Saccharomyces cerevisiae S288C: one gene and its partner. The protein of the gene in region 1 purifies or fractionates together with the protein of each later gene. This does not show direct contact. Each region holds a gene or a part of one and is shown on either strand. Other genes may lie near its edges.

Region 1 (5,375 bases):
CTACTTGTTCATTCGTAATGCTTATGTTGGTATCAACTTCAGTATGTTTAGCTAATTGTGAACTGGCGTGATCATAAAAGGATGAAAAAATATTAAACCTGTCGGAATATTTCTCCATATCCAAGAATTCTTGCATTTCCTTTATGCGCATTTGAAACTTAAATCCTGTCATATCATCGTTGTATTTACCTATGGGATAAAACTCATTGTTCCATATACTTAGAATATCTGGCCTATACCCATCATATTTTTGTACTGTCTCCTGAAATTCTAGTATTATTGGACAGATGTCATTTAATCTCATATCGTTGTAATCTATATAACTATCACCGTTATCTTCTAGTTTCAATTCATTCAGCAAAAATTTTAAAATAATTCTCCATGCATCTTTTTCACATGAGCGATTCAAGATCTTGTAGGCAATTTTAGCGGTGAACATTTTTCTAAAACAACGATAGTACTCAAAGCCAAATTCGTTAAAATACACAGACGAGACCCCGTAAAGAAATTCTATCATTTTCTTCTTGTCGGCGTACTGAATTGTTTTGAAGCGGTCTCCTCTGAGAATGAATGCCGGAACAATGACCAAAACTTTGTTTGCGACAATTTCCACGATTCTATTGGTATAAAACTTTGTCAATGAATCCACCTCTAAGGCATCACTGTTAAAAAAGTAATTGTAGCACTTCTCTGAGATATGAATGACCATATCCCACAAATCTTGGAAACTCTTATAAAATTTTGTAATATTGCAGTCATATTCATAAAAGATCATTTCTCCGTGCAGCAAACTTAGTGAGAATAAATCTATTATCCATTCCATTTCGAAATCAAAATGACGCATTGTTTCTTTTTCGTTTTTCGACAGGCTTTTTAAAATATGAAAGTTTCTTTTTAAATCATTTATTAGTCGGTGCAACAAGTTCAAATCTACCTTTCCTGGATCATCGTTCAACGTATCGTTTATCTTTTTCATCAAGTTATCCAGGGTTAACATTCGTATATACCATGTGGGTGTATCTGCTTCTTCTTTGAAATGGCACTGCAAGGTTTTCCCAATTTGACATTCTTCACCGCTAATAAAACACATCTTCCTGTCCCAAAATAAAACATAACTCCATATCTTTCTGAAAACTGAAATGTAATCGCTAGGTTTCATTATATCGTATGAAGGCCTCGTATGTCGGTTTATTTTAAATGAATATTTTTCTGGATGAGAGAAGCAATACCAGTTAATGCCCATTTCTTTACATGATGATATTATTGTCCCCATTAAGATTTGACAATATTGAGTTTCGGGTCCATCGCCATCTTCAGGGGCACACCAGTGCAAGAACCTTAGTAATATGAGACATTGCAACTGTAATAAATTACATTTTCTGAGGACCTTCGTCTCGAACAAATAGTGTTTAACAAGAGCCAAAAACTTAGAGGTATCAATTTCTTGAAGAACCGGGTATATATATGGAGTTAGCTTCGAAAACTGGACAGAAAGTCGGCATATTTTAATAATCAACAAGATTATGCAGAAAACCATATGATCGTAGTGTTTTATAGAAATTGGATTCCCTTTCTCGACTATATTTTGATAAAATATCGTTATTTCATGACGCAAAACTTTCATATCGAAAATCGGTATCATATTGTAAATTTTTTCTTCAAAAAGTGCTAAAACCTCACTTTCAAGTATTTTTAAAGGAGGCAAATAATCCTTTGCTAATATAGTTTCTGAGCTGAATTTTTTAGCATTATTTTCTCTGTATTGAGCGAATTTGTTAAACAATGATTTGTGAATAGTCTGATGCATGCGGAAGTTATTGCCCTTACCAACAACATCATCGCTAATGTGGCGTTCGTCATCAGCATCGAAAGTGGATAAAGCTTCGAAAGATTTAGGCAAGCTTCCATTTTTCACATTATTGCCGTTGCTTCCCAATTTATCCATCATTTTTTTGATTGCGATACTTCTAAATGTTACCATTGCTTGGAGATAGGGGTCGCGATTTTCAATTGCTCTATCCGTGAACAGACCAAATAAATTATCAGCAGACCTTTTGGTCTCTAAATAAAACCCATTAGGGATGAGGTCAATAAAAAATGGAGTTTCTTCATGAATTGGTAGATAATAAAGTGATGATTGATTTTCAAGTTCTCGTACTCTTTGCCAGTGATCTTCGTCTTGTCTTGTCTGTGACGATCTTCTTTTCTTAATGAAACCTGGACTTATTCGTTCCGCAGGAGTTGATTGTTTCCTCAGAGGGTCAGCATCATTCAATGAAGGACTGCTTTCAGGTTGTCCAGAGCTATCGGTGAGATAGACACAGCTGTCCACATCTCCCAGTCGTACACATGTTCCACATGGTTTCGTTCGATCGCACTTACTTTTCCTTTTTTTGCAATTTGTGCATACTACAGTAATTCGATGTCGTTTTTTTGTCCTAACTTGGGAGTCATATCCCATTATGAGATCAGTTGTCAACTAAAGTCTGGTATCAATTGGTTTCTAGTTTCTTTCTTCTCTTCATAGACTCATAACACTGCAAAATCGCAACAATAAATTCATGACTTATTGTTATGCAAAAAATTACCCGAATGTGAAAGATTAATAAGCTCATCGCAGTCGCAGAAAGAGTGAAAAAAATACCTAAGAATGCCTAAATTAGCTTAAACAAAAGTCATTTCTAGAAAGCAATGAAAAAAGGGCAATCTAATGATACCACCACGAATCGTTCCATGGAGGGATTTTGCTGAACTAGAGGAGCTGAAACTTTGGTTTTACCCGAAAAGCAAAGGAACCATTGAAGATAAGCGACAGCGTGCAGTGCAAAGAGTACAGAGCTACCGACTAAAGGGTTCCCAATATTTACCTCACGTGGTGGACTCTACAGCACAAATAACATGTGCGGTATTGCTAGACGAAAAGGAAGCGTGTTTAGGAGTACATCAGGATTCTATTCCTATCCGGTTATCGTATGTAATGGCTTTGATTCGGTTTGTCAATGGCTTATTGGATCCAACGCAACAATCTCAGTTCGCTATTCCCTTACACACATTAGCTGCTAAAATTGGACTGCCGTCCTGGTTTGTTGATTTGAGACACTGGGGTACACATGAGAGAGATTTACCTGGATTAGAAATGCTTCGTTGGGCCGCCAATGAAGCGTTATCTTGGCTATATGATCACTACTGGAACGATGAGGAATTAGAAGATGACAGGGATGATGATGACGATGATGATGATACCGGTTACGGATACAGAAGAAATGATAAACTGGAGAAATATATGGAGTCATTAACTAAAACACTTGATAAATGGAAGCGACTTAGAAACGAGTTTCTGGAATACAAATGGGTGTGGGAGAATGCAAACGATAGTTTAATTACAAGTAGTAACTTTTCTGGGGATAATTTGGTGAACTATGATGCCGAAAAGAGGAAAAGTTCACACGCAAGTTCATCAGAAACTATGATCAGGGAAAATTTGCGTCAATGGCAAGAACTTTGGAAATTATCCATTTATCACAATGTGGTTCTTGAGAAATTTTTTAACAATTATGACCCACTTTTACTCAAAGTTTTAATGCTTAATTTGAACAATTTTGATTGGAAGGTCATTGAGTGGGTAGCTAGGAATTACAGAACCCAACAAGATGATAGTAATATAACGACAATTTTAAAAAGGAAATTCAATGCCTGGAAAGAACTACAAAAAAGGCTGTTAGATGTTATTATAAATAACCTTAACAATAAAAATTTTAAAAATAAATGGCAAAATTGGGAGAAACTTATTGATGAAAATGCGTCATACTTGATATTGTATTTTTGCCAATCTATGCTGGCCAAACTAGAGACTGAAAAAATTACTGGTAACTCATGGAGAAACAAAAAACGGAGAAAACAAATTGATAGCACAGTGGAAATCGAGGCAAAACTGAAGGAAAACATAGACAATTTATCATTAAGGTTTAATGAAGGTGAAATAAAGCTGTATGATTTTATTCCTGCGGAAAAAGATTCCGTTCCATTGAAGAAGGAAGTGAGTCCGGCATTAAAGGCTGATACCAATGATATACTAGGCGATTTGGCGTCTTTGAAACAGAGAATGAGCAGTTTCGGAACAGTAGGTAAAAAAAATAAACAAGAGGAGAACAGAGCTACACCAGTAAAAAATTGGTCAAGGGTTCAAAATTGGAAACCCAAACCCTTTGGTGTCCTGTAACCTGTTTCCAATGCTCGTTATAAATACGTTGTAGACTATAAAGCTGAGTTGTATGCTGCACCCTAACGTGCATGTATATATAATCACAGTCTCTTTAACCTAATATGCAAACGAAAATGATTTAATCAAAACAACCTCATACTCTATGGGAATAATCTTTCAAGATACCGGTCATATGAGTGTTAGTAATCTTACCCTTTCTTTGTCTCTTCTTTTTAACTTCAACTCTCTTTGTTTGTCTTTTGATAGTAGCAGGATCGACACTAGCAGGCTTTAGACCTAAATCTTGCAGCTTTCTTGGCAATTCTGCAAATTGCGGTAATTGCACATTTTCCCACATTTTAACAAACTCCTCGTCAATACATTTCAAGTTACCACCGCTGTTATACCAAACGTATCTTGGAGTTTTATCCTTTTTAGTTCTTAACACCAAAATTTTGCTGTCTTCCTCCAGTTGGTTAATCGTTTCATCGCATTGTGGCCAACCGTCTTTCAAGTCTTTGCAGGAAATACCTTTGAATGTTACTTGTGAACGTAACAACTTCAGCAGTTCCGAAGGGGAATGGACATCGTAGGTGGAAAGGTATTTGAAAGTCCCCTTCTTGGGGTCAAACTCTATTCTATCTAATTTTTTTAAAAGCTCAATAACCTTGTCATCTTTTTTCATTGACAAGTAGTCCAATAACTCATTCACCAAAACGGGCTTACCTTTCTTTTGAATGTATTCAGTCGCCCAAAGCAACTTTGAAGAATCGTGACTCTTGGAAATATCTGTTTGATTTGCTTGTAAAGCGGCTGCAGCAATAGAGCCAGGCCTTACTTTTTTTGAAGGAGAGCTACCAAAATCTTCGTCGTCATCGTCGTCATCTAATGAAATAGCATTAGAGCTATTGCTCCCAGCTTCTTTCTTGATATCCACTAACACAGGATTTTTCGCAGAGTTCAAAGTGTTTTCTTGCGCACGTTCGGAGGCCGTCCTCTTCCTAGTGTTTCCATCTATAGTAATCACTGTGTCATTGGTCTTCTTCTGTCCAACTTTAGCGGGTGCGATCACCGGGGCAGACTTCACTTTGCTTTTGAAAGCGTTCAAATTAGCCAGTAGAGGGTCCCTGTTTTTACTCATCGCAAAAGACTACTCTCTTTTCCAAATCGAACG
Region 2 (5,085 bases), on another chromosome or scaffold:
GGTAAGATGGGAACACATAAATTCTAGACCTATCTCATTGAGCCTCTTAAAGATATCGCAAACAGAAGTTGATTATTTATACAGGGAAAAGTTCCATTTTTTGAGACTCGAACCTAAACGTTGGGTTTTTCATTATTTTAATCTGGCAATAACCGTTGCGGTACTAACCATTTTTACCCGTTGTTGTTACCGTTTGGCTGAATTAGTTGTCGGTTGGGATGGCTATCTGATCACACACGAGTGGTATTTTATTATCTTAGATGCATTAATGATGGCCATCGCTACGGTCACTTTGACCATCTTCCACCCTGGATTTGCGTTTAAAGGTAGAAGCACCTCGATTCCAATCACACCGGGCCATGTTGATCCTGAAACTTTACCACATACTGACGATGTTGAAGATATCTTAGATACTTCGGATTCAAAACAATTTGATATTGAAAAGGAGGAATTCCAAGCAAGCATGAAATACCCGATTAGCACCTTCAAACAATTCATGTCCAAAATAGCTAACTTGTTTTCCTCTAAAAAGAAGGCTAAACTTTAGTGATACGTAGAATTTGAATGTCAATCTGATCGTTCATATGCATTTTTCAATTCTTACTTTTTTTCTCGAAGTTCCCGACTATGTTCTGTTTATTTTTTCTCCTATTCAAAAGAACCGGACAGCATTTTTACTTCCTTATATTTCGACATCGTAATATGTACATTTTTTAGTTCACAAGTATTTTTCCCCTTTCAATGCTTTAATCAGCCTTCAACGTCATACATACTTTCTATTTTGTTCCTGTGCCATCGTATAACTTTCCTCGTTTAGTGTTTTCGCCTCAGCTTAATGTAGATCACTGTTTTGACGTTCTTCCATTTTTGGGAACGAACTAAACTAAAAAAAAGAAAACTACAGAGTTTCCCATAGAGAACAGAAAATCCGCTATCGGCAGCTTATAGGGTCATATAATTATGGCGCACATAAGGAAAATAAATTTATTTGAATCAATCAACAGACCTATCTGTTGATATATGAAAGAGAGCAGGAGCGTTAGTTTACCTCCATAAACAGTAAAATTAAAGCAAAAAAGCGTAACTGCTGATTGAAGCCTATATCACCGGGCTAAAATCTTATATCGGTTAAGAAAGTGATTAATTTATAGATATGTTCACGAAATCTTTTCTATTCAAAGATTCACGAATTTTACTCGATTTTTATAGTATACTGAAACAAGTAGTTGTAAAATCAATTCACCAAAAAAGCTTTCCCCATCTCTGATGAAAAACTACGAAAAGTTTACTATCACATAATATCGGAAGTACGTTTTTAAGGCACTGCAATGTATTTTATAATCTTGAACATTTGGAGGTATATTACCTTACTTTCTCATCAGGTTGTATATTTGAGCGTCTCGGGAATGATAAGTCGGGTAACGAGAGTATCTAGATAAGATTTTCAGCTATGGCAATAAAAAACCAAACCTCATCGATGAACCTATTACAACATAAAGACATCCCGTAATAATTAGTGAGACAGGTTCTTCAAGGAAGTGCTACAGCCAAGTTTCGTAATATAATGGGTGTTCCGTCATTTTTCAGATGGCTATCTCGAAAATATCCAAAGATCATATCCCCAGTATTGGAAGAGCAACCTCAGATAGTCGACGGTGTCATATTGCCGTTGGATTATTCCGCCTCAAATCCAAACGGTGAGTTAGACAACTTGTATTTGGATATGAATGGTATTGTTCATCCATGTTCGCACCCAGAAAACAAACCGCCTCCAGAGACTGAAGATGAAATGCTTTTGGCAGTTTTTGAATATACCAATCGTGTGTTAAATATGGCTAGACCACGCAAGGTACTTGTTATGGCTGTTGATGGTGTTGCTCCTCGTGCCAAAATGAACCAGCAGAGAGCGCGTAGATTTAGGAGTGCTAGGGATGCTCAGATTGAAAACGAAGCCAGGGAAGAAATTATGAGACAGCGAGAAGAAGTTGGTGAGATAATCGATGATGCCGTCAGGAACAAGAAAACTTGGGATTCAAATGCGATCACTCCAGGCACCCCATTTATGGATAAGCTTGCCGCGGCCCTCCGTTATTGGACAGCATTTAAACTGGCCACTGACCCTGGTTGGAAAAACCTGCAGGTGATTATCAGTGACGCCACCGTCCCAGGTGAAGGTGAGCACAAAATAATGAATTTCATTAGGTCTCAAAGAGCTGATCCTGAATATAATCCCAACACAACGCACTGTATATACGGTTTGGATGCTGATTTAATTTTTTTGGGCCTTGCCACTCATGAACCACATTTTAAAATTCTAAGAGAAGATGTTTTTGCTCAAGACAATCGGAAAAGAAATAACTTAAAAGATACTATAAATATGACTGAAGAAGAAAAACAATTTCTCCAAAAACAAAATTCCGAACAACCTTTCTTGTGGCTGCACATAAATGTTTTGAGGGAATACTTGTCCGCTGAGTTATGGGTTCCGGGTCTTCCATTTACATTTGATTTAGAAAGGGCTATCGACGATTGGGTTTTCATGTGCTTTTTCTGTGGTAATGACTTTTTACCACATTTACCATGCTTAGATGTCAGAGAAAATAGTATTGATATTCTCTTGGATATTTGGAAGGTAGTACTACCGAAATTGAAAACGTACATGACCTGCGACGGTGTCTTGAACCTCCCTTCTGTTGAAACGCTATTGCAACACCTTGGCTCCCGTGAGGGGGATATCTTCAAAACTAGACATATTCAAGAAGCCAGAAAGAAAGAAGCTTTTGAAAGAAGGAAAGCGCAGAAAAATATGTCAAAAGGTCAAGACAGGCATCCTACAGTAGCTACGGAGCAACTGCAAATGTATGACACACAAGGAAATTTAGCAAAAGGTTCATGGAACTTGACCACCAGTGATATGGTAAGGTTGAAAAAGGAACTGATGCTTGCGAACGAGGGGAACGAAGAAGCAATCGCCAAAGTTAAGCAACAGAGTGATAAGAACAATGAACTGATGAAAGATATCAGCAAGGAAGAAATTGATGATGCTGTTAGTAAGGCTAACAAAACTAATTTTAACCTTGCAGAAGTTATGAAACAGAAAATAATAAATAAGAAACACCGTCTTGAAAAGGATAATGAAGAGGAAGAAATTGCTAAGGATAGCAAAAAAGTTAAGACAGAGAAAGCGGAATCAGAGTGCGATCTCGATGCAGAGATCAAAGATGAGATTGTGGCTGACGTAAACGACAGGGAAAACTCTGAAACTACAGAAGTATCAAGAGATTCACCAGTCCACAGCACAGTGAATGTCAGCGAAGGTCCCAAAAATGGGGTCTTTGATACAGATGAATTTGTCAAACTATTCGAACCTGGTTACCACGAAAGATATTACACAGCTAAATTTCACGTTACTCCTCAAGATATTGAACAGTTAAGAAAAGATATGGTAAAATGCTATATCGAAGGGGTCGCCTGGGTACTAATGTATTACTATCAAGGTTGTGCCTCTTGGAATTGGTTCTATCCGTACCATTATGCTCCTCTGGCAACAGATTTCCATGGGTTTTCTCACTTGGAGATAAAGTTCGAAGAAGGTACTCCATTTTTACCTTACGAACAATTGATGAGTGTTTTACCAGCTGCATCTGGCCATGCTTTGCCAAAAATTTTCCGGTCTTTGATGTCTGAACCTGACTCTGAAATCATTGATTTTTATCCTGAAGAATTTCCCATAGATATGAATGGTAAGAAGATGTCCTGGCAAGGCATAGCGTTGCTACCATTCATCGATCAGGATAGACTGTTAACAGCTGTTCGTGCACAATATCCTTTACTTTCTGATGCTGAGAGGGCAAGAAATATTCGCGGAGAACCTGTTTTATTAATAAGTAACAAGAATGCTAATTATGAGAGGTTTTCGAAGAAATTATACTCAAAGGAAAACAACAACAACAATGTTGTTGTGAAGTTTCAACACTTCAAGAGTGGTTTAAGTGGTATTGTATCAAAGGACGTTGAAGGTTTCGAATTAAATGGGAAAATTGTATGTCCGATTCAAGGTGGGTCACTGCCAAATTTATCTACCACCTTGATTTTAAAGATGTCCTATAGATTAATTCCGTTGCCATCGAGAAATAAGTCTATTATACTGAACGGGTTCATTCCGTCAGAACCGGTACTAACAGCATATGACCTTGATTCCATAATGTACAAGTATAATAACCAAAATTACTCCCGTCGCTGGAACTTTGGTAATGATTTGAAGCAAAATATTGTTCCAGTAGGACCAAAGGGTATTACTCAGTACAAACCAAGAACTGGTGGCTATCGAGCATTCTTTTATTTTGCTGAGCTCAGTAGAAATAATGTCCAACCCGCCCACAACTATGGTAGGAATAGCTACAACAGTCAACCCGGCTTCAACAATAGCAGGTATGATGGTGGAAACAATAATTACAGACAAAATTCAAATTACAGGAACAATAACTATTCCGGAAATAGAAATAGTGGACAGTACAGCGGCAACAGCTACTCTCGGAATAACAAGCAAAGTCGGTATGACAATTCAAGAGCAAATAGGCGTTAGAACTACTCGTGCGCATTTTATTTTATGGTAAATTTAGGTTTTCGCAAATTTATAAAATCTTCATACAATTAAAAAAAAGCTCTTTTAAGATAATAGTGTCTGCTCTTACAAACGACGAACAGTAATATTTTATAACAAAAAATGGAACATATTAAGTTAAGAGAAAATCATGCTGAAGCATGAATATATGAATATACGTCCTCTTGTAAAATAGCGAAATCCTTGTAAGCCAATAGACCGAACTCTATTTTGATTTATACGCTTCGTGTATTTTTTCTTCCAGATCCAGGAGAAAAAGCATGGTCTGTTCTTCTTTTTTGAAAAGAGAGGCAGTCCACGGCGAAAGTTTCGAATACGGCACTACCTTTTTTTTCTAAGTTCCTAAACTTAAAATCAAATTTGGTCTTTGGTCTGTTATCATCCAGGGATGAATGCAACATATTGGGAAGTTCATGCTATACAACGCCAACCCCTTCGCTCAAGTCACGAAAGCACATCTT

What was found. Proteins that work in one complex are often made in the same cells at the same time.
Region 2: the proteins of LAS1 (region 1) and RAT1 purify together in Saccharomyces cerevisiae (affinity purification with mass spectrometry; 4 studies listed by BioGRID, with this or other methods). This does not show direct contact.

Annotation. Positions count from the first base shown.
Region 1 is NC_001143.9:559,633-565,007, reverse strand, and holds LAS1 (rRNA-processing protein LAS1), read left to right. Parts: upstream 1-2,710; coding exon 2,711-4,219; downstream 4,220-5,375. Other genes in the region: OAF3 (Oaf3p), read right to left, coding at 1-2,461; transcription factor TFIIE subunit TFA2, read right to left, coding at 4,356-5,342. UniProt on the Saccharomyces cerevisiae protein: Regulates cell surface growth, bud formation and morphogenesis. May act indirectly by regulating factor(s) involved in these processes.
Region 2 is NC_001147.6:418,130-423,214, reverse strand, and holds RAT1 (ssRNA exonuclease RAT1), read left to right. Parts: upstream 1-1,564; coding exon 1,565-4,585; downstream 4,586-5,085. Other genes in the region: phospholipid-translocating ATPase RSB1, read left to right, coding at 1-547. UniProt on the Saccharomyces cerevisiae protein: Possesses 5'->3' exoribonuclease activity. Required for the processing of nuclear mRNA, rRNA and small nucleolar RNA (snoRNA) precursors.